2 linked regions of the Drosophila melanogaster genome follow. The protein of the gene in region 2 interacts with the protein of the main gene of each other region in a biochemical or structural test. Each region holds a gene or a part of one and is shown on either strand. Other genes may lie near its edges.

Evidence for each region.
Region 1: the proteins of Dif (region 2) and Rel form a complex in vitro, tested with the Drosophila melanogaster proteins (one study listed by BioGRID).

What each region holds. Positions count from the first base shown.
Region 1 is NT_033777.3:9,039,228-9,051,911, reverse strand, and holds Rel (relish), read left to right. Parts: upstream 1-3,934; 5' UTR 3,935-4,476; coding exon 4,477-5,388; intron 5,389-5,684; coding exon 5,685-7,688; 3' UTR 7,689-7,729; downstream 7,730-12,684. Other genes in the region: Mst85C, read right to left, coding at 164-725, 785-951; Nmdmc (NAD-dependent methylenetetrahydrofolate dehydrogenase), read left to right, coding at 1,535-1,548, 8,273-9,060, 9,128-9,255; hyx (hyrax), read right to left, coding at 9,971-10,007, 10,070-10,211, 10,279-10,441, 10,601-11,744, 11,820-11,950. UniProt on the Drosophila melanogaster protein: Transcription factor that plays a key role in the humoral immune response as part of the peptidoglycan recognition protein (IMD) signaling pathway.
Region 2 is NT_033779.5:17,422,066-17,433,294, forward strand, and holds the start of Dif (Dorsal-related immunity factor), read right to left. Parts: upstream 6,135-11,229; 5' UTR 5,591-6,134; intron 1-5,590.

The sequences.
Region 1 (12,684 bases), on a different chromosome or scaffold from region 2:
CCGGAACATTCCAGATTGAATCACATACATCTATCTATTTTCAATAGTAATAAAAAAATAAGGAGGCGGAGTATTCTTGCATGCTATCAACTGGGTTCTTACGGTTACGGACATACAAATCTACACTTTAATGCTTATGGTTTAGGGTTTTATATGGCTATCGCTACAGGTCTTCGTCCATGTGCTCCTGCTCAGACTTGTTAAGATTCACGCTGCACGTGTTGTTGTTCTCGAAGAACTCCAGATCGTCATCGTAGTCATCCAGCTCCTGGACCGCCGGTGCCGCAGCCATGGGTGCCACTATTTGGGGCGACACCATCTTGACTTCCGGCATCGGCATCGGCATCTGCAGTGGCGAAGGCTGCCAAGGGACCAAGGCGGTGCAGGGACGTGGTATGGACTTGATTAGCCACTCCGGTGGTATTACAGGTGGAGCGGAACCGGGACCCGATCCTGGCTTAAGGCCATCACAAATTACGATGCGATTGGCATTGCGCAGTTTCTGCTCCAGTTCCATGGCCGCCATTTGATAGGCGGGATTGGGGTGGTGGGTCTTCCCGGTGCTGGTGGATGGTATATCATCCGTGGCCAGTCCGCCCGTAACGCTGGCCACGCTGTTGTTGTTGCTAACAACGGCCGTGGCGGCGACATTGATCTTCGGATCCAGCGATAGACCGCTGAAATGCTGGGTGATCCTCTCCTCGGTTATAAGCATTTTGGGTGGTCTGCAATGAGTTCTGTGGTTAGTATTTTATGTGGATGTTGTGTTGAGGATATAGCTTACAGCACTGCCGGTGCCGGCTGCTCGGATTTTCGCTTATGCTGCCATTTTACCAGATCATTCTCCACCGAATTGCCGAAGGTGCTGCAGCTCCCGAATCCGAAGTCCATGATACCGCCCGGAGGAGGCGCATTGAATGGGAATGATTTCCGCTTGCTCTGGGGCTTCATCGCCAGTCTGTGGGCATCAGAGATGCAGTTGCGTGGGCAATAGTTATGCAAAGGAATGGTGTTCAAAATTGCAATGGAGATTGGATTTGCGACTTCTTGTTTTCCTTTTCACTGCAGTGTGGCCAGATGGCGTTGGCATAAATAAACCAAAAAAGATGCATCACACTTGCACTGCTAAGACACACTCAAACGTTAAGCGTTGAATTTACAACAGTATCAGATTATTCATACAGATAAAATTGTACGTGCGCAGCATTATCTTCGTTTTATTCTTGGTTATTGAGAAATCTGCAATTTGTCTACCCCTGAAATATTTTAATCTAAGGCCAATTTCGAAATTTCGAACTAGAAAGGTACTAAAAAATACCCGTTTTAAGAGCCATAAAAAGGGCTGCAACGCGCTTCTTTTAAATATTCCAAAGCGACAAGTGTGAAACCAAGTTCTTTTATAGAATACTTTAAACAAAAAGTGTTGCAATATTTAACGAGCTTAAAAGTATATTAGTGCAATAAACTCTAATAGGACATCAGATATTATTCAACAGATCAAACGTTTTCAGTTATTAAAAGAACTCGATTCAAAATGCGATTCACAAGGTGAGTTTTTGAAATCCGTACTTTGTTACATCTCCATTATTCATCGAATATAGCTATATATTAATTATGCCATGTGCTTCTCCTACAAGCATTTTTAGTTCTTAATTATTGTTTTGAAAACATGAGTTACAATGAAAAATAAAGGACAAAACATTTTCTTTCTGAAAACTTCGAAAATAGTTCTATAGCTTAAAACAATTTTGACAATAAATTCACAATAATTTTCTATCACGCATCCTTGGGACACAAATTTGTAACGACCAGAGAAAGTAAAATGCTCGTCGAAATATTCCAGTTGTAAATTAAACAAGCTTGTTAAAGCATGACTCCCATTGGGCAGCCCACTCGCACTTTCCACGGGGGTTATCTCCGTTCGAAAATAACATGTTTTTCAACCCAAAACGGGAGCAATCATCGTCCGCGAACAACATTGTTAATGACGCCTGCATTGTTTTTCCTCTGGCTAAAAACAAAAATCGCCAGTTACCAGGCGTTTGTGCATCAATTCCATAACTTATGGAATAGGTAATGGGTGATCAGAGGGGGCTGAACTCAAAGGCTTATCAGTGGGAGACGTTGGTGGCCCCCTGTGGAGCAAATTGACGTCACCGGCCAACAGAATCCAACTTAATCTCCGAGTGCAGTAATCGGAAATCAGATTTCGTCATCCGCCGCGTCGAAGAAAAACAAACTATTGAAAAATAACTCGTGTCGGAAATTTTAGAACAGCAAATATTCCCAACCAAAATCGTAATCATGTAACTGGTAATAAAAGCAACAAAAGTTGTTCTCCACGTCTTTAAGAATTTCCTAAATAAATATTTGTGCACACAAGGCGAACTTTTAAAAATTTTCATGTTGAGAAAATAAAATATGTTCAATATGTGTTTAGCTATTTTCCGCGTTGTTTCAAAATCGAAAATCCATATATGCACATATGTATTTGTTCCGTTTTAAGCCATATTTATATGCACACAGTTCAAAACTTTTATCGACAAGTGTTTAAAGCTTTTAAGTCGCGCTCGCTCGCACACGCATATTTAGTGCGCTGAACCGAAAAGCTTTTATCCAAAATATACAAACACGTGCGAGGCTCATTCAGTGATCTGTTTCGTTCTATACAGTCCATCGGTATCCGACAATCAGTGCAGTTCGAATTTTCCACCAGGAAAATTTCGCAAAAGCCAACAAAAGAAGTCACAATAAGGTATGCTGCTAGTGAAAATTGGCTAACAAAAATCCATAAAAAATACATAATTGACCTTCAAAGAAATTTGAATAGGCGTTCTTAAGACACGTTTGCTTTTATCAAGCCAAGAAAACGAATTTTCCTTTGTCCGCATAAAGAGCTAATTTTGTAGCCTGCCTATTAATAACTCTAGTCTAGACGCAGACTAGTGGTTGCAAAGTCAAGACCCCGATTTGTTTATGTTTTTCCTGCTAATTGATTATCAATATAAACAAACTCATCGTCAACTGATAAGGTGTAAAAGCATTTACACACACACACCCACACACCTTGGCATGGTAACAAGAGTAAGAGAGGAACGGCGAAGTGAGAAGATTGATTAACACATCAAAAAGTGCAAAGGGATCGTAAATACATACATATATACTCTAAGTGCAGCCTGGCAACAGATCAGCTGTTTCTGCGTGAGTGTGCGTGTGTGTGTGCGCGGGTCCAGTGGGAGTGGAAACCGACTGAATTGCAAATTAGTTCAGTGGCGCATGCTTATGTAGTTTTTTTTTATCATTTAGCACAAGTGTCTTAGGATAAAAGAACATTCCGGTGTTTTAAATTTTCCAACCATGTTGCGACGTTCTATAGGATCCATTTCGGTCTTGGCTTCCCGGAATTACGCCGGAAAGTCTAACTTCAGGTGTGTATGCTCATAAGAAAGTGAATCGGGTCCGAAATAAAACGTAATATCATACGAAGAAAAACAAAGCGTGCGCTAGAGATGAGTGCGTGACGAAAGTGAATTAAGGGAAAAGCCAATGGAAAGCGTAAAAATATATTATTAATAATACTAATATTCGGTACTTGCATTGCATAATTATTATTATTTTATAACACAGTTATAAGTTGTTACGCCGGTTCTCATTATAAATTTGTATTAAAATTCCTTATATCTTTATATTTATATAAGTGTTGTATTATTTATATTAATATTTTGTATTATATACCTTTATATCTTTTTGTCGAAATAGGTTAAATTATATTTATAAAAATTAATCAAGAATAATGGGAACAAACAATCGCGTACGCTTCCATCCCTAGATTTGTAGAACATCTGATTGGGGCGTTGCCACCCAACTCGTTTTATCTGCCGGTGGCAGCTCTGCCTTGTTTTTATTTTAGTGTGCGCGGTGTGTTGAAATCAGGTATTCAAATAAATGAATTTGAACCGTAGTTTCCGTGAAAAGCTGACCCGAAAGCTCGGCGCAAATAGCTTAAACCTGTTATCAGGGCAGCGAGCGTTTTGCTCGCAACTCGTGAGCGATACTACTTGTGTTCGCGCAGTGCTTCGTTCATTTTCGTTCCAGCAGTGGCGCACTAAAGTTCCCCGATTCGCTGCGTCGTTTTTCCATAAATTTGCATATATGTATTAGTTGGGTGGAATACATATAAACAGTGTGATTTCGCTCTGTAAACAACAACCGCGAATCCAGAATTCCGTACATGCTTATAGTATAGCCGATCAAAAAAATCACACTGAGTGGTGCGCCAGAAAAACCCGTGAGTCATCTCGACGTGGCCGCCGCAGATAATTTCCCATCCGCCGAACATCGGGGAAGTACCTAAAACGAATGGTCAGCCATCGGCGGAGCTCGTTTCGATCATTAGCGTTCCGATCGGCGAAGGCAGCGGATCACTTTTGAGTTGTTAAGACGCTATTGATCAGAAATATTGGATTGATACGGACTATGAACATGAATCAGTACTACGACCTGGACAATGGGAAAAATGTGATGTTTATGAACGATGCATCCAGCACCAGTGGCTATAGCAGCAGTACATCACCCAACTCCACCAACCGATCCTTTTCACCAGCCCACTCCCCGAAAACCATGGAACTGCAAACGGACTTCGCCAATCTTAATTTGCCCGGCGGCAATTCACCACACCAGCCGCCAATGGCAAACTCACCATACCAGAATCAGCTGTTGAACAACGGCGGAATTTGCCAATTGGGTGCTACCAATTTAATAAACTCCACTGGCGTTAGTTTCGGCGTTGCTAATGTCACCAGTTTTGGCAACATGTACATGGATCACCAGTACTTTGTGCCCGCTCCGGCCACTGTGCCACCGTCCCAAAACTTTGGATACCATCAAAATGGCCTGGCATCTGACGGCGATATCAAACACGTGCCGCAGCTGCGGATCGTTGAGCAACCGGTGGAGAAGTTCCGCTTTCGGTACAAGAGCGAGATGCATGGAACACATGGATCGCTAAATGGCGCCAATTCGAAGCGGACGCCCAAAACCTTCCCGGAGGTTACACTGTGCAACTACGATGGACCCGCCGTCATCCGGTGCAGTTTGTTCCAAACTAACTTGGACAGCCCACATTCCCATCAGCTGGTCGTGCGCAAGGACGATCGGGATGTGTGCGATCCGCATGATTTGCACGTGTCCAAGGAGCGCGGCTATGTGGCGCAATTTATCAACATGGGCATCATACACACCGCCAAGAAGTACATATTCGAGGAACTGTGCAAGAAGAAGCAGGATCGCCTGGTCTTTCAGATGAACCGCCGCGAGTTGTCCCACAAACAGCTACAGGAACTGCATCAGGAGACAGAGCGTGAGGCCAAGGACATGAACTTGAACCAGGTGGGTAAACCAGCGCGTAAACAATATCGAGTTGCTTGCTTCGATGAGGTGAATATGCACGTTTGCATTTATTATTCACACGTTTAATTGCTCACTTTAGAATGCTTTAGTCAATTAATTATAGGTTGCATTTGCTACCTTTTAATCTTTTTATTTAAGCAGTCTGTAAAGTATCTACTCGTTTAGCTCGAATTATATAAATTTCTCTGCTAAAATAACTGAGCAATATAACATCGAAGCAATTAACTTACTGAAAAGCAACAAAGAACTCACTAAAAAAGTAACACCAACTTTAGGTGCGGCTCTGCTTTGAGGCCTTTAAAATTGAGGACAACGGCGCATGGGTTCCACTTGCACCGCCTGTATACAGCAATGCAATCAATAACCGCAAGTCGGCACAAACTGGAGAGCTTCGCATCGTCCGCCTGAGCAAACCCACTGGCGGGGTGATGGGCAACGATGAGCTTATTCTACTGGTGGAAAAGGTCAGCAAGAAGAACATTAAAGTGAGGTTCTTCGAGGAGGATGAGGACGGGGAAACCGTGTGGGAGGCATACGCAAAGTTCCGCGAATCGGATGTACACCACCAATATGCCATTGTGTGCCAGACGCCTCCGTACAAAGATAAGGACGTGGACCGCGAGGTCAACGTGTACATCGAGCTCATTCGTCCCTCCGACGATGAGCGCTCATTCCCGGCGCTGCCCTTCCGCTACAAGCCACGGAGCGTAATTGTGTCGAGGAAACGCCGACGAACCGGGTCCTCTGCCAATAGCAGCAGTTCGGGAACAGAAAGCTCTAATAACTCGCTGGATCTGCCCAAAACGCTGGGCTTGGCGCAGCCACCAAATGGCTTGCCAAACCTTTCACAGCATGATCAGACTATAAGTGAGGAGTTCGGACGCGAAAAGCATCTAAATGAATTTATTGCTTCCGAAGATTTCCGCAAACTTATCGAGCACAACTCTTCTGATCTCGAGAAGATCTGCCAGTTAGACATGGGAGAGTTGCAGCACGATGGTCATAACCGGGCGGAAGTGCCATCGCATCGAAATCGTACAATTAAATGCTTGGATGACTTATTCGAAATTTACAAACAGGACCGCATATCGCCAATAAAAATCTCGCACCACAAAGTGGAGAAGTGGTTTATCGAGCATGCTCTGAATAACTACAATAGAGACACGCTCCTGCACGAAGTGATCAGCCACAAAAAGGACAAACTGAAGCTGGCCATCCAGACGATACAGGTGATGAACTACTTCAATCTGAAAGATGTGGTCAATAGCACTTTGAATGCGGACGGTGATAGTGCCCTGCATGTGGCGTGCCAGCAAGACCGAGCGCACTACATACGACCTTTGCTGGGTATGGGATGCAATCCAAATCTGAAGAATAATGCCGGAAATACCCCACTGCATGTGGCCGTCAAGGAGGAGCACTTAAGCTGCGTGGAAAGCTTCCTTAATGGAGTGCCAACCGTACAATTGGACCTCTCGCTAACGAACGACGATGGTCTGACGCCTTTGCACATGGCCATTCGACAGAACAAGTACGATGTGGCCAAGAAACTGATCAGCTATGATCGGACCTCGATTAGCGTGGCCAACACAATGGATGGTAATAATGCACTCCACATGGCAGTTCTGGAGCAAAGTGTGGAGCTATTGGTGCTCATTCTGGATGCCCAAAATGAAAACCTTACCGACATCCTGCAGGCACAAAATGCAGCCGGCCATACTCCCTTGGAATTGGCCGAACGCAAGGCAAATGACCGGGTGGTCCAGCTGCTGAAGAATGTGTATCCGGAGAAGGGAGAACTGGCCATGACCTGGATTCCATGTAAGGTCAAGGAGGAGATCGATTCATCGTCGGACGAAAGTAGCGATGCTGGTCAGCTGGAGATCAAGTCCGAGGAGATGGACATCGAAACAAAGGACGAGGATTCCGTGGAGTTGGACCTAAGTAGTGGTCCAAGAAGACAGAAAGATGAATCCAGTAGAGACACCGAAATGGACAACAACAAATTGCAGTTGCTGCTCAAAAACAAATTCATTTACGACCGGCTCTGTTCGCTGCTGAATCAGCCTTTGGGACATGGGTCCGATCCCCAAGATCGGAAATGGATGCAACTAGCCCGCCAGACGCATCTGAAGCAGTTCGCCTTTATATGGCTGGGCGCGGAGGATCTGTTGGATCACGTGAAAAGAAAAGGAGCCTCTGTAGAGTTTTCCACATTTGCTCGTGCCCTGCAGGCAGTGGATCCACAGGCTTACGCCCTACTGGTTAACCCAACTTGATTATGTATTGAATGTTGATCAATAAAGTACCTTAGTTTTACAAATACTATTCTCTTGTGGAATGAAAAATACGCGAAACTAGGATGCCTGGGATAGCAAGCTTTATTTTTAAATATCAGAGCATTAATTTATTTTCCTTTATTAGCATTTATTTAGTTTCCTTTATTATTCCATGGAATCTATTCTTTAGAATAGTTCTATAAGCAATCTAAACTTGTTCCCTCAAACAATTACCATCGGCGCCCTGCATGAGATCACTAGCAAAAGGGGATCCATCGATAGCTCGGCATTAAAAAGTACATTCTAAGAATGGGGAATCACTAATTTTTCATTGCCGCTCGCGCACGCCGCTTGGTAAACAAGTGGGTGAATCATACATGTACTTATGCGCCTAAGTGTGTGTTGTGGGGGAATTACTGTTGCGTAACTGCAGTGACAGGCGGGGATTTACCGACAGCCCTTATCATTCCCGGTTTATGACCTTTCCTGCTATATTTTTTCAAGAATATCGCAACTAAATAATGTTTTAAGGAATAGTACAGTGTAATCTCATTCAATTAAATAATATTATGATCGCATTCCAGCAACATGGCTCAAATTATCGATGGCAAGGCCATAGCCCAGGAGGTGCGCACCCAACTAGCACACGAGCTCAAGGGAATGGAGGCTGCTGGCTATCCGAAGCCCCATCTCACGGCCGTCATTGTGGGCGAGGATCCGGCTAGCGAGAAGTATGTGGCTAACAAGATGGTCGCCTGCCGGGAGGTGGGCATCTCCAGTGAGACCAAGAGATTGCCCGCCTCTACCACGCAGGAGGAGCTGCTGCAACTGATTGCCGATCTGAACAAGGATCCCCAGGTCACGGGGATACTGGTGCAGCTGCCGGTACCCGAGCACATCAATGAGCGCACCATCTGCAATGCCGTCGATGTGGACAAGGATGTGGATGGCTTCAATGAGGTCAACATCGGACGCACGGCTCTGGACATGGAGGCCAATATTCCGGCCACGCCGCTGGGAGTCAAGCGACTGTTGGAGCATATGAAAATCGAAACTCTCGGTCGTAACGCCGTTGTGGTGGGACGCTCCAAGAATGTCAGTCTACCGATGGCAATCTTGCTGCACGCGGATGGCAAGTATGCCACCAAGGCAATGGATGCCACGGTGACCATCTGCCACAGGTATACACCGCCCAAGGAACTGGCTCGCCATTGCCGCCAAGCGGATATCATTGTGGTCGCAGTGGGAAAGCCGGGTTTGATCACCAAGGACATGGTTAAGCCCGGAGCCTGTGTCATCGACGTGGGCATCAACCGCATCAAGGATGAGAGCACTGGCCAGTTTAAGCTGGTCGGAGACGTGGACTTTGAAGGTGTGTGGCTGATCTATTAAATCACTAAAGACCAACAAGATTGATTCATTTCCTCATCACTTTGCAGAAGTTCGCCAGGTCGCCGGCCACATCACTCCTGTGCCCGGCGGAGTTGGTCCCATGACGGTGGCCATGCTGATGCACAACACGCTGAAGGCAGCCAGGAAGCAGTTCGATGATCGCAAGTCCTCCTGAAGATTCACCAGTAACTATCGTGCTTCGCTGGCCGAGAAATAGTATTTTTATTTAATCCCCTAAACCTATATTAGATAGTAAAGTTACTGACCACAAGCTAACATGACATAAACCCACATATTTTGCTATATAAACAGAAATAATGAAATACTACTATTTCGTTTGATTTATGACTTTAACGATGGGAGGTATGAAAAAGTTCCAATATATGATCTTTGAAAAGGTTAAATAATTGAGAAAATATACTTGATGACAGCCAAATAAATTCCAATTATGTTACCTTCTGTTTGAATAACCGAAACAGAATGGCTTTTAACTGTTTATTATCACTAAAAATACAAAGGATACTTGCTCTCAGATGTTTGTGTTTTGTAGTTTACATTGTACAATTTGAACGAAAAACTTTATCTTAACTACTAACTGCGTATTTGGGCCTATTTGCACGATCGCAGGCCTGCGACTTATAATGCTGTTGCCAAAAGCGAGATAATCCTGGTCGGGCTCTAATCGGAAACTCGCACTGGAACTGGCCAAATGCCCCAGATTCGGCTTGGTGTCTTTCCTACGGAAGTTGGGCGCACACTGTAACATACTATTTGCGTCGTTTGTTGCATAATGTAGTACAGCCTGTCTATAATAATGGTAACTACTTGGGAGTGGGATTGAAAACAGCAGGTGTCGTGTTTCAGCAGAACGTTTAAGAATGCGGTGAGGGTTAATATCGTAAATCGGGCTTGTACTTGGCTATATATCTAAAAAGATTGCATTGTAAATCTTTTGTAACGAAATGGTGGATTTTTATATAAGCACTTACTTGTCCAAAGTTTCCCAAAATTTGCTGAGCACTGCCCGATCCATATGACGCTTGTTTTGCGATAGTCGGAGTAGCGTCACTGACCAGCGCTCCACGTTTGAGTCCAATTTCATTTCGCTAAAGCACAAATGAAAAGCGCAAACTGCAGTAGGTAAGAAAATGAGACTTAGTGAATTAAACTTAGAGAGCTGGGCATGATGTTAACTAACTTTTTGAGAATATATCGACGGGATTGCCTTCCCAAGGCCAGCCCTTGAACTGCCACTGGGGTCCCATAACGAAGACGGCCACCACCCGTTGCCACTCCTGTTGCGAGAGCTTGGTGGGATTATCTATCACCCGGTAAGACACAGTCTGATTGTTGCGTTTTCGCTATGTGTGAATAAAAGGGAAAATAAATTAGCACTGGTGTATGCCAACTCTTATCTTTAATATTTTAATAGGAAATTGAATACATCTTCGGAAACAAATGCTGTAAAACCTTTTGGTATATAAACCATTTGGAAGAGAATTCGTTACATTAAATCGCACCTGTAACAGCACTTCGCATTCGCGCTGGCAGCCCTGCAGCTTTTTATCCGAGGTGGACATGAAGCGCAGTTCCTGCAGGATATCCTTCGCGTTGAGCATGGTAATGAGGCTTGTGTTGGCAGACGGTATGATAATAATGGGGGTGCGAGATGTTCGCTTCGATGGACCATTGGCGGGCAGTTGCCGAGCTTGGGCCGCAGGTAGCAATTCCTTGGGCCGCCCGGCGGCTGCTCCCGCTATTACACCCGGTGCTCCCGGTAGGTTGTTAGCCTGCGCCTTACGCTGAGCCAGTGAGCCCTCCGTCACGGATTTCAGCGACATACCGTGGTATGTGCCGAGCGTGTCGATCTTAAAGCCCTCGGTCTCCTCCTTTTGCCGATTGAAGCGCTCCTGGTCGTAACGGTTGTATTGCGAGAGCTGCGGTTGTGGTTTGGCTATTCGAGCCGGCTCCGGCATCTTAATGGGATTGGGCACCTGTGGACGATTGCGTCCCTCCTCGCGCGCCTTGATGCCCTGAAGCATAGCAAAGATGTTCTTGGCAAAGATCTTGCCCGTGCTTTGCAGAATCGAAGTTCGCGTGCGCCACTGCCGTTCTCTGCTGATAATGTCCTTTGTGGAGTCCACATCATAGTCCAGGATGGCACGCAAATCAGTTCCCATGGCCTCGTCATTGTCCGTCCTTTTAATGGTCGTTCGCTTGTTGGCCAGACGCTTTGCCTTGATGGCGGCGATCTTCTCAACGGACATCGTCTCGGACAGCGACTTGATGTTGTCCATGTTGACAGCGGTCTCCTTCTGGTTGACATCCCATCGGGCGGCCAATTGCTCGCGCACCTTCTGCACTTGAGTCTCCTCGAAGCGGGCCTTCTTGGCAGCCACCTCAACGCTGGAAGGTTCACCCTCGGCGGCACGCTTCACCTGAGTGGGGATTTCCAGCGGGGCACTCTTGTCGATGCTGGCACACGTTGGCGTCTCGCCATTCAGATAGGCCAGGAGCTCTTTACGATCCGGCCGATTCACAGCGGGTATATCCTCGGCGGCGCACTGTCGCACGTAGACCGAGTGTTGCAGCATCACATTCTTGAGCAGGTACAGCAGGCACTCCAGCGTGTAGTACTCACGTGGAGCGCCCTTCTTACCGGATCTAATCGACGGGAGAAAAGTGTAAGAGTTAGTGGCTAATCCTAGTTGTCCCACAGGTCGTCCTGACCGCACTTACCCATATTTGAGATAGTTGGTCTTCACGCTCTTCGGCCAGGAGAACTCGCCGAAGATAATCTGGCTGTCTCGCTCGACAATCTCCTTTTTGTTTATGTTGTACTGCCGAAGCAGGCTGAGCGGATCTGCCATTTTTCTGCCGGTTTTCTGTGTGTTTTCGGGCGGCGGGCGTGTGTGGTCGGTGTCGCTCTGGAAGGCGCGCGGCGGCTACGCACTTTGTAATCCGCGAAAGATATATAAACAACTTCGATTCTCGCTTTTTATGGCATATTTTTAGTTTTTTGCCAGAGGTTGCGTGGAGTGTGACCGTAGGCGGGGTGAAAAATACCAAATATCATAGAGAGTGCATCGCTTCTCATTTGGTATAAATCGCTGAAGTTTCGTCTTTAAAAAATATCGCACTAAGTCACGGCTTTTCGTATCCTGTGATTTGTTAACAATTAGTTTTCTTAATGGCACGTTATACAACGACAACTCTTTAGAACACTTCACATCTTCAGGAATTGGCATCATTAATAAACGAAGTAAATGACTTTTCTAGCGCGTCTAGTGATTTGTTTATTTATAAATATTGTATGGTATATTCTTGTGTGGCAGATGGCAAAGCTGGACTGTCATGTTTAAATACTAACGCGGTCACACTAAAAAAAAGCCTTGCGACCGGCAGCTCCATCCAAATAACAATTAGGCAAAGCTTTAAAATGCATCGCATTTAACGCCTATGATTCCGGAAGTGAGCTAGCCTGCCAATAGCACACGATCGGCTCACGGTGCACATAATATCGAGCTTATGCGAGGGCTGGTCTACGTGAAAATTCAATGCCAAAGAAGCTGTGTGTGTCCTAGTTGTTGTGGCTGTTGTTTCT
Region 2 (11,229 bases):
TGAGTAATAAGCAAATGCGGCCACAAGAAAAATAATATTGAGCCTTTTAAGTAAAGATAAAGTAAATTTGTATATTATTTGTACAAATACGCGTTTCTATATGCTAAAAAGGATTTCTCATATGCTTAAGCCCTAATGAAAGAACAAGTTAGGCAGTAAGGATTTACTTTGTTACAAAAAGAATACTCTAGGTGTTTAATTTTAAAGCACAGAAATTGTATTAGAACTCTTTTTTAAATATATTTTCTAATTTGGGTATCGCAACTTTTTTCTTCAGTGTAGCAGACGACGTGGGGCAAATGACATCAGGAAACTTTTAAGTATTTGGCGCTAGCTGCGGCTTAACTGCCACTGACAGCAGCAGCATCGCTTTTACCCAACTCGCTAATCTCTCTTACACACAGCATTACACACACCACCATACAAGCGGCAACAGGACGAGCATTAAGGATGTCCTGGCGTGAAGGGGTGATTGGGGTCATTTCAGCGGTACCGTTTAAATTTTTATGCAAAAGGGGTGGCAAAAAGCTAAACCGTATCGATTGTCCTGCTTATGGGCATAAATAATAAAGGAACTCAAGTGTGACACACGCAATTTGAACGTAAAATTGGCTTTTCCAAGAAACTTTTAAATTCATTAAATATAGGGCATATAGTAAAGTATGGATAACAATCAGGAGCAATTTATTCATTAAGCCCCATTCCAAAACTTAATCCTGACAGTCATTAGTGGCCTGAGGGTAAAGTGTTCCTAAAATAGCAAAACAGGCTAATGGGGAAGCTAATTGACTTAGATCCGGCGCAAAGGAAATAAATATAGAATTTTAAGTCTACCAATTAGTCCTTTAAACAAAGATTTTGTCAAAAGCGGTCTGTATAGATGAGTATATTGGGCTTTATTTTATTGGAAAGATTGTAAAAATAACTTTTCAAGAGATTTCTACATTCTCTTCGATTGTAGCATATTTATTTTTCCTTTTTTCATTCTTAATCAATCTTCGAAAAATGTAAATATTTCAAACATCAATATTCTTAAAGCGTTTTTGCCTTGCTCTTTGGATTTGTTTTTTAGATTTCATTAAGTGCCACAAACGCAAAAAGCTTTCCAAAGCGCCTAATTGCTTGGTTCATCTCCTCAGGACCTTCGCCCACCATTTTTCTCGTCTAGCTTCAAGTTTCTTCTTCAATTTGGGAAAATCTTAAGCTGAATAATACTTTAAGACAGCCGGGGCTACCAACTCTCAACGAGAAAAAGAAAAAAAAACCGCTACGCACAAATTTAATTCGCATTTAGGCTCAAGTGAGGTGGACGGGGCTGAACGTGGAGGGTTGGAAAAATTCTGGTGGCATAAATCAGAGCTACAAATTGATGCATAAATAAAGCGAACAAGAAAGGATGTCGCCAGCCGAATAAAAAGTGAGCAAGGTAAAAGAAATTGTTAATTAAATGTTGTCAAAAATAGACGTCATCGGGAATGAAAATGTCGGTTTTGAGTTACGATAGAATCGCTGGATCGTCGTCTATCTATCTGAAAAGTAATGATGGCAATGTGACACACTCACACACACACACATATTTCAGTAGCTAGAACCTTGTCACGTGCCCAATCGATTGGAAAATCGCGTTCTGAACCGAAAATAAACACACAGCTAAATAGGAGAATATAATGGAATGGGTGGCACTGGGGGAGTGCTTTTGCCGGAATATGATGAGATGGGATGGCTAGAATCCCAAAAACTCGCACACACACACAGACACACACACGACATTCACTCACCGATGGCCTAATCACACCCAGTCGCACACACAAAATTCAACATCAAACGCAGACAACTGGCCCCAATCCATCCCCAAGATTCAACCATTTGGCACCTCAAGTACGCAGGCTGACATGTGTGCCTGCCTGGTCCTGCCGTTGTCCTGAGTGCCTTGCATTATATTCGGTATGTGCACAAAAAATTAAATTCAAATAAAAACTTTCTCCACAGCACCAATTTTGCCTGTCGTCGTCGAAAATGAAAAAAACGAAGAGAAGGCAAACGTCCCCAACCCCGGAAAATCAATAAGCGCTGGAAATTATGATTTTCCTCTAGTTCTTTGACAGTGTCCTTCACTTGGGCCATGCCCCCGCTGTCATTTGCAGGAAATCCATTTGGCTTTCTATATGCACGGCATATATAAATAACTAATGTTTGTTTACTCCTAGATCCGAAGTTTACTGAGGTCACAATCGATTGAATTTGTTTGCTAACGCAAACAACATTTTAGATGGCTATGCTATTTATATGACACTTGTTCAGGTGTAAAACAATATTTACTGCAAAGTATGCAAATCTTATTTGATATAAATCAGATATTTTAAAACTTATTATGACCTCAAAAACACATAGTAAATGTATAGGTTGTTATTTTTATATGATTTTGGAGAACTTCAGCGAATATTTGGCTAGTTTCTATCGTAATATAATTTTCGGCTTAACATAATCGAATTCTTAGAAATTCTTTTTCTTCTTATTCTTATAGCTCCATAATCTTTTATACAAAAATTGATTTTAGTACGCAGCTTAAATCGCTTCCAGTTTAATGAAGGCACGCTAACCAATGGCTAAGCTTCTTTTGCTGATAAGCTTATCAATAAGTAATTCCCAGCTAATTATGAATCAAATTCGACTAAGTTAGGAGCTAAAAGTTCGAAGCTTTGAATGGGAATAAAACGATATTTGTCACATTTGACAGCAATTATGAAGAAAATAAGTAAATAGTACAACGACGAAAACGATAAACACGAAATAATATATAATCTCCGACGGTGTCAACTTTTATTAGGGCAATTTTGAATGGTCGAATGCTCGAATCGTTTGCTATTTTTATTTTGTGTGCCGTGTTACTTGAAAAATCATAATGTATAAAACTAATTAAAAGGTAATTAATTCGGTTACATCTAGGTTGGCTTCGCTCATCACCACCCATTTGCAGTCAAAAGTTAAATTGTACAGCCAATCGATTTTCATTGCCTTTCAAGCAAATCAAAGGAAACATTTTTGCAGTCAAGTAAATAATGCCCGAGCACCCCAAAAACATTCCCAGAATGCCGAGCCAGACCACATCGCACCAGACCTCATTTACCCAAGCGTTGGAGCCATTTCCATTCTAATGGCCAAGACAAATCGTTCGTACGTACATTCGCTTTCAGCCAAGAAAAACGACCGACACGCGATGGCCGAAAATTGGAGGAAACCGCAGCATTTAATTATTTTGCTATAAAACTTTTCACGATTCAATCAATTCAGATTCGGTACAACATGGCGTATGCGTAATGGGATTCAGCTATATTTTTCCCCGCATTGTTTGTAAAATTGTGTGGTGGCGTGAATTGTTTGTAGAACTTGGGCTTTGGTTGGCGATGTAAATGTGAATGACAGATCATTTTAAAGTTTAGTTGGTTTTTGTTCATGCGGAAAATGAAAAGAAATATATATAAGGTATAGTACTCAATCTCACGCCGGGTTATCAGGGAGACTAGAATATAAAGCCCCGCTGGGATTTTCTTCTTGCTGATTAAAGTTCAAGTCTTATCAGTTAATTGAAATAAGTTCAAAGCAATTGCATTTGCTCTCTTGGGTTTTCCGAAAAAGTGTACAAGTATTCAATAAACTGATCAAGCTGAATTGACTCTTGAAAACAAACATAATTAGTATAAGTTTGTTATATTATTTTACAGTAAAAATAGTTTTGAATCGATTACTGGTGGGTGAAAATACTATAGCTTACATGAAGCTTCTCATTGTGTATTCTTTAAATTTTAATTTAAATTTTAATTTAAAGAATAAGTAATTCAAAGGTTTCTGATAATTCTTAGCAACATATATTTAACCAGCTCTATCCAGAGTTCATCGTTTTGACCGTTTCTCAATTGTTTACCAATTAGACTTGCACCCTACACACAAATGTGTGTACAGGCTGTGACCTTCCTTCTCCCGCTGGCATTTAATTTACAATAACTTTCAATTCGGAAACAAGTCTGCTTAATACAATTGGCAAAGTTATAGCTAGACTGCGACTTTATACTGTATGTAAGCAATCGCACACACATGGACCAAAAGGTGTGAAAAGTGCGGACTTTGTTTGTGTTTTATTTTCTACAATTACCGAAAACAATTCCGCTGCCGTTGGCATCATCGGTTCATCGCCCAATACAAGTTAGATAGCTGCTGGCTGGGAGCAGATAAATCGATATTTGAGTAAGTTTTGACCATGACTGTTCCATTTCATTCTATTTTTATGGATTCCGAAACGGCCAAATGGCCGAATGTTTTGCGTGCGGATAAGGCAAAAGTCTTAAAGACTTTATGCCATTTCGTGTCTTTCGATTGCAGTTTCAGTTCCACGGTTCAGGTTGTATATTCCTTTGATTACAAATGAAATAAACGAAATCTTCCAGATGCCACCGCAAATTTTTATAAACTTTTGCCGTGCCGATTTCAGTTGTAAAAATATTTACATTTTGTTAATATAAATATTTGCATTTGCTTCGATTTTTTTTTTTTTGACCATTGAATTCCTCTTCTTTTTGGCTCCTCTTGAGCAGATTTTCTTTCACATTTGGAAAGTTATTTAAAGACTAACTGAGTAGCTATATTCTTCCAATTTTTTATATCAACGCCTAAATTATTTCCAATACAACAGCTTGAAATGTGAAAACGTCACAAACAGCTTTGGCACTATAATTTTGAGATAAGAGTTATAATGTTTATAATTGCATACATTATTGCTCTTGGGAGGAAATGTCTACTCTAGGGTGCAGTTCCGGCATATGTTATGTGCAAATGTACAAATCTGAACCAGTATGTTAATGATTTTTCGTAGTCGACCAATAAAACAAGAAAGAAACACTGGGACTACTAGTAAATGTCGTACTGAGTGTTATTCTCTTTTAATAAATCGCAGTCAACCGCCTTTCTTGTTTTCATTTGCATATATTATACGCCTGTTGGGTTGCAAAACTGCAGTTACACTAGCAGAAATATATATTTGCTGATAAGCAAAAACATACCATATTTTAATAAATATTTACGAAGTATTGCACAAAGTCTATATTTAATGTATTGATATAGCTATGCCTATAATCTTTCGGGTGTTTAGGTTCAAATCAAACAGGAAGTAGATTAAAGAAGTCACAAAAATATTTAAAATATTTCCCGCATGGACAAAAAAAACAAAATAAAAATAATACACTAAAAATTAAAATTTTTTGTCGTTTTTTTTTGCGATTACGCAGTCTAGTGAACCCGGCCGTATTCCCGTTTTTCACTTCACTATTAATAAATACAAATTTCATTACACGTGGCATTAGATAAGTAATTGCCCGCATCGGAAAATTGTGTACTTATTTATGTATCTGGGATTAAAATTTATGAATTCCGCCGAGTTGCTGGCACGTAGTTTTTTGCAGTGCCATTGCAATCGAACCTGACACGGGAAGCTGTCTGTACCTAAGTTTCTAAAGCCGCCTTCTGGACCGGGGACTTTACAAACTACGCCTTAAGCTAGCTAGCTGACTATAGTTTCAGAAAATTTATTATAGCTAACCTTTTATGGTGTAGTAGGTAGGCTGCTTTAAATGCTTGATTAAATTTGGATTCTCGATCCGAATGCACTGGGTCAGACAGAAATCGAATTAGCTCTTTGTTGTGTTGACACGTGTAATTGATTAAATTTGTCTTTTATGATTGACTGGTTTTCGGTTTATGTGTCGGACTTATCGCGCGCGACTCACAAAAGGCGCGCCAAAAAAATTATGAAGAAATTGAAAACAAAAACAAAAGTTGCTCCCACAAGCGACGTTGTTGCTCCGCTCATGTATTTTACTTTTGAGTTTTGTTTAATTTTTGCTATTGACACTGCAGCCGCCTGTTTAGAGCGGACATTGATTTATACACACATCTGTAGTTTACGTTGTAGTTGTCGTGCTTCGTATAATTAACCAATACACTGGCAGCTATATAGTCGCGTGCGACTTGCACAATATGCGTTATATGTACATCTATATGTATATATATATGTATGGATATCTATGTGTGAACAAGTCGGCGCTTCACGTCCGTCGGCGGCCAAGTTCAGATTGAAACTGAGCGGTTCGCTTCACACTCGGCTGCAAGAGAGCTTCGGAATGGCTTCGATAGCTCAGGCTCCATTCTCAGCTGTTCGCTCTCTGCGATCGCATGCATTCGGTTCGTATACTTGATACGTATACGTGATACGTATACGTGATAAAAAGTTACCGCTGCTGATATGATGGTTGCTGATCGCAACTGACGGAGGGTGCCAATATCTGTTTTTATTTTCGAAACTGCTTCACTTTTCCTTTATTTATTTTCATTTCCGTTGTGCGTACTCAATGTTTCGTTCTCTCTAATGTATTTGTGTTCAAGTGCGTTCCTATGACGCCATCGAGCAGAAAAAATGGTTATAGATTTTTAAGTGGATTTGGAAAAGTGTTGAGATTTTTATAACGCTCTGCAGGTGTTCCAATTTCGATTTTCGGCTATAAGTAAACATTGATTCCCTTACAAAAAAATGTGTACTTTTTGCTGGGAATGAAAATTTATTGTTATGAATGGTTTGGAAATATCATAAAAATTCAAAATACCTAAGATGTTATTTCACATGAACTCTTTTCTCATTAAAAATTCGTTTAAAATAGTGCACAGGTTTCTGGACAAATCAAGATCAAAGGTTTATTATAAGATCAGATAGGAGGAAAAGTTTTTCTTTATGTGAATCATTCGCCATTCTGGAATGAGAAGCCGAAAAAAATCGACAACTATTAGCCAGATGCATAACAATAGATCTATTTATCTAATATAGGTATGACAGCTGAATGTTTTTATTGATTTTCCCAGGAATTGACAGACCTGAAACGAGTTCGACCCTCGGCAAATGTAAATTATAAAATCCATACAACGTTGCTAATTCACGCCAACAAAATTCCCAAATGAGACCGAAAAAAGATTCGCCAACGTCTAAGGTCGAACTGAGTTATTAACTCAATTTTTGGCTTCTGTTCCATAGACAGATTTTAGTCATTGAAATAAACACAAGTGCAGACCAAACACGTAGGGGAAAAATATTTGCAGTTAACATTGCCAATCGGGTGGAAATATTTCATTATTGTTGTGCATGAATGAAAATAGTATAATTTATTTCTGCTAGCCCACGAAAATTTCGAACTAAAAACACAGTTTTCATGTAGCGTGGGCTCGTCTGCGGACAAAATGCATTTTGGGAGCAAATTTCCCGGCCGCAATTTACATCTATATAGGATTGCAACAAAGCCAAGAATACCTCAGGACGTGCAAAAATAAACTAAACTATTTCAGCTCTGGGGTTTGAGAAATTTTAAGTTAGGAAAACAGATATTTATTTATTTAGCAATTTATTGAGCAAATATGAATATTTAGATATAGATGAAAATATAGTACGACAATTTGTATAACTTTTTGAACATGTTATTATCAAATTTACAATTGTAATCCACACTTTTATTCTATTATTTTAAAATTTCTTGCTCTTTATGGCTAGGGATCACTGTAGAAGGATTTTAGTTGCGATTGTGCTTTTAGCCATACATGTATGACAAATGCCCCATGACGTAGTAGCCACTTTCAGTAAACATATCAGACGTCACAGAAATCTCCAACTCTTTATTAAGCTCCCCGAAGAAGAAGAGAAGAAAAAAAGGGGGAGAAGTCAAAGACTCTACCCCCGCCCAAACAACTCCCCCTGCAATTCTGGCACATTTGCGCTTCAAGGTCACGCGCGTGAGCGGGAACGAGAGGGAGAGAGAGAGCGAGGAAGAGAGAATGCAGAAAAACAAAGCCAAGCCCCAAAGAAATCGTGGAAGGGGGTGGAAGGGGGCGAAGGGGGCTTGACGGCGGAGCGCATAGTTGAGCAACCACTTGTTGTTGCTGCCGCTTTTATTGCTCCTCTTCAGCCAGCGCCAGTTTAAGGCCACCAAATATGCACTGGGAGAAACAAATAGCACATACATCTTAACAAAAAACACTTAAAGATTATAGATTTCTGGATATTAAATGGCCTATTGAATTAAGTGACAAATAATATCTAAAGTGGATTTTGTTGCATTTGTTGGTTTAGTATTTTATTAAAATATTAATTTTAACATTTTCTTTAAAGGCATATTTTATCAGATGCCTGAAGCATGTAAATTTAAAAAAAATAATTTATTATAAGGTGAATAGTGTTAAAAAATGCGAAATAGAAAACAGATCTACAGCTTTTTCACAGTGATTGAATTAAGTCGAAAGGTCTGCGCCGCCCTCAAAAGAGGTAAAGAAACAAAGCGCGTAGTGCATTAACATTCAAGACATTCGGCTGACGAATAATGGTGATAAGCAAAGGAAGGGGACGAAGGGGAGCCGTATCAATAACACGAACAGCCAAGTTACCGACGAACTCGAAATGTTTGAGTAGCAGAAAAGCCATGATACAAAAAAATGACTCAGCCTAGTTCAGCGAATTCAAATGCTCTTCTGCAGTCAATATATACTTGCTAAATTGCACTAAATTCTATAATGACGAGTTATATATTTGATAAGGTACTTTGATATATATATAAAGCAAACAAACAAAAGCGAATAAAAGAGAGGTAGATTTAATTGCTAGAAATGTATATCTACGGTCAGTAATAAGACACTTAATTAAAGTGTAATTTCCTTTTCTAAAACCCACTATTTTGAAAAGCTTGGCGGAAAGAAAACACTCTACGAATTGGCAAAACTTTTGCGAAGCATAAGAGAAGAAAACGTTAAGCTATAACAAAAAACCTGTCCGTCTGCCTTGTCTTTGGCTTTTGGCTTTGCAGCACTTGATTGGCTTTTGGATTCCCCGAATCGTCGATGAATCATCGCCTCACCTATATACATACATACGTATACGTAATTTCTGCGGCTCACCAAACACAATTGTGCCGCTCGCACACAATCACTTTCAATTGGGGCCTTATTTGTGTGTTTGTGTGTGTGTGTTTGGGTGTTTGCCCATGCGGAAATCTGCTGAGAGGAAAGCGCTGGGAGAGCTCCACCGAGATCATCTGCTCCGGAGAGTGGGAAATTTTGGATTGCCATTCCAGTTCCCAGTCCACTCACTCTGCCTCACCGCATTACATAATTGGTAACTGCAGGAGTTGTTTACAAGGCGATGGAGTTCCGCATGCAATGTGCAGATTTTGTTACCAATCAGGGGTATGCTGTTTCTTGCAGGTGCAAGAGAAGTAAAGTAAATTTGTAAAAAAAAATTTAAGCATAACTTTATTAAACGAAAATATATATTTTTGTTGTTTAAGCTAGGTACTATACAATGTTATTAGTCTTTTTTGAGTTCAATTGTTAGTACATAAATTTTTTATTGAACATGATATCTCTTTCTTAGCATTTCGAGATTTCTTGACTTGGTTAAATAAATTTCTCCCTGTGCACGCATCTTTTTGGTAACCATATCAAGGTTGTCTGATCCCAAGTCTCGAACTCCATCATTTCACCAGTTTAGGTAATGCAAACACAAATGGCGAGATACACTACTTTTTTGTTGTTTTAGTCTTTTACGGAATGAAGAACAACACCATCTTCAGAAAAACAACAAGAGAGAGAGCAAACACTGTTAATTAATTAATGTGTCAGCGTTTAATAAAGCAAGAGTCGTGTGGTCTCGATGTGGATTAAAACATATTGCCATTTTCAATGGAGCAGAAACTGAAAGCGAATCCTCAATTGCAAATGCAATTGTTAAGTCTTATAGAATTTGCTTTTGTGCATGGCTGCTTACTTTTTTGCGGTCCAGGAATGTGAATTTATTGTTCAAAGGTCAGCTCTGTGGCTTTGGAATAGACATTTTGTAAACGCCCCTCATTTTTCAAAAAATTAAATTACATCCTTTAATAGAATGCTAGATAACAAAAATGACATTGATGCAATAACACGGTATAACCAAACCAATGTATGGCCGTTACGCATCTTGTTATTCTAGTGTCTTTGGTATAACACTTTCAATCAGAAACAGGTGGAAACAGGTCGTTTACTTTGTACATTTTTAAGTGTTCAACATAAAAAAAAAATCAATAATAATATCCAATAATACAACCTCATATTTTAAAATGAAACATATTTTATAATTCAATTTATTTATTTACCTTAAATATTAAATTTTTTCCGTGTTGGAATTCAACGCTAGAACATAAAAAATGCACTGCATACAAGCTAAATTACACAAATGCTAGTTTCTCGGTAGTATTATCTATTTATAGGCTAATCGATTTAAAATGTTAGAACGGCAGTTAAAACGTTTTACTTTTAAACTCTTAATAATGCATTTAATTTCCTAGAATTGGACAACGAGAATTCTCGGAAACAGAGGCGCGCGCCGTTTCGATAAAATTGATCCCAGTTAACACGTCAGTATCTTAATATTGGCTTTAATAGTGTGCCAGACTAAGCCGCAAAACAGGTCACTAGTAAATGACGCTGATTTGGTAAACGATCAAATGATGATTTAATATTTGTAATCAAGTAACTTTTTCCCCAAGACGTAAGCACCTGGGAACCAAGATCAAAACTGAGTAAGATCCCGGGAGACCTGTTTGGGCTTTAATGGGTCCGCTGGGATAAACCCAATTTCATTGATGTTCTGGCTTAGGCGAATACGCTCTTAATTATTTATAAACAAAACGGAATTTTGTAATCGAACAGCGCTAGATTATTTATAGCCAAAACTCACCTAAATCAGAATTTCCAGACGTGGCAATAATTCAATATGCTTTGTTTGATTTTCGATATTTACTTGAGACTTTCGAATTTTTATGTTCGTTTGGAATATTTCGCACGTTCACACAGCTACACTTTGAGCACTTTAAATGATATTTTTTTTCAGCTGAATTTATTTAGATTAAATATTCAATGGTTTTGTATTTCGCTTTTAATTGGACGTTACTTTTTCGAAATCGTATTTGTTGGTCGAATTTTTCGAGGTGGATTTTTTGAGGAGGCGAAGAACCGTTTGCCAGCAGCGCCGAACAGTTAATGAAGCCGCCGACGCCTTGGCCACCACGCAGAGTAGCCTTTCGCCCACCACCCCCCCCCTGCATTACCGCCATCGAACCACCCAGCCACCCCAAAAAGCCAAAAACAACAGCGTACCAAGTTGTCGTAGGGCCG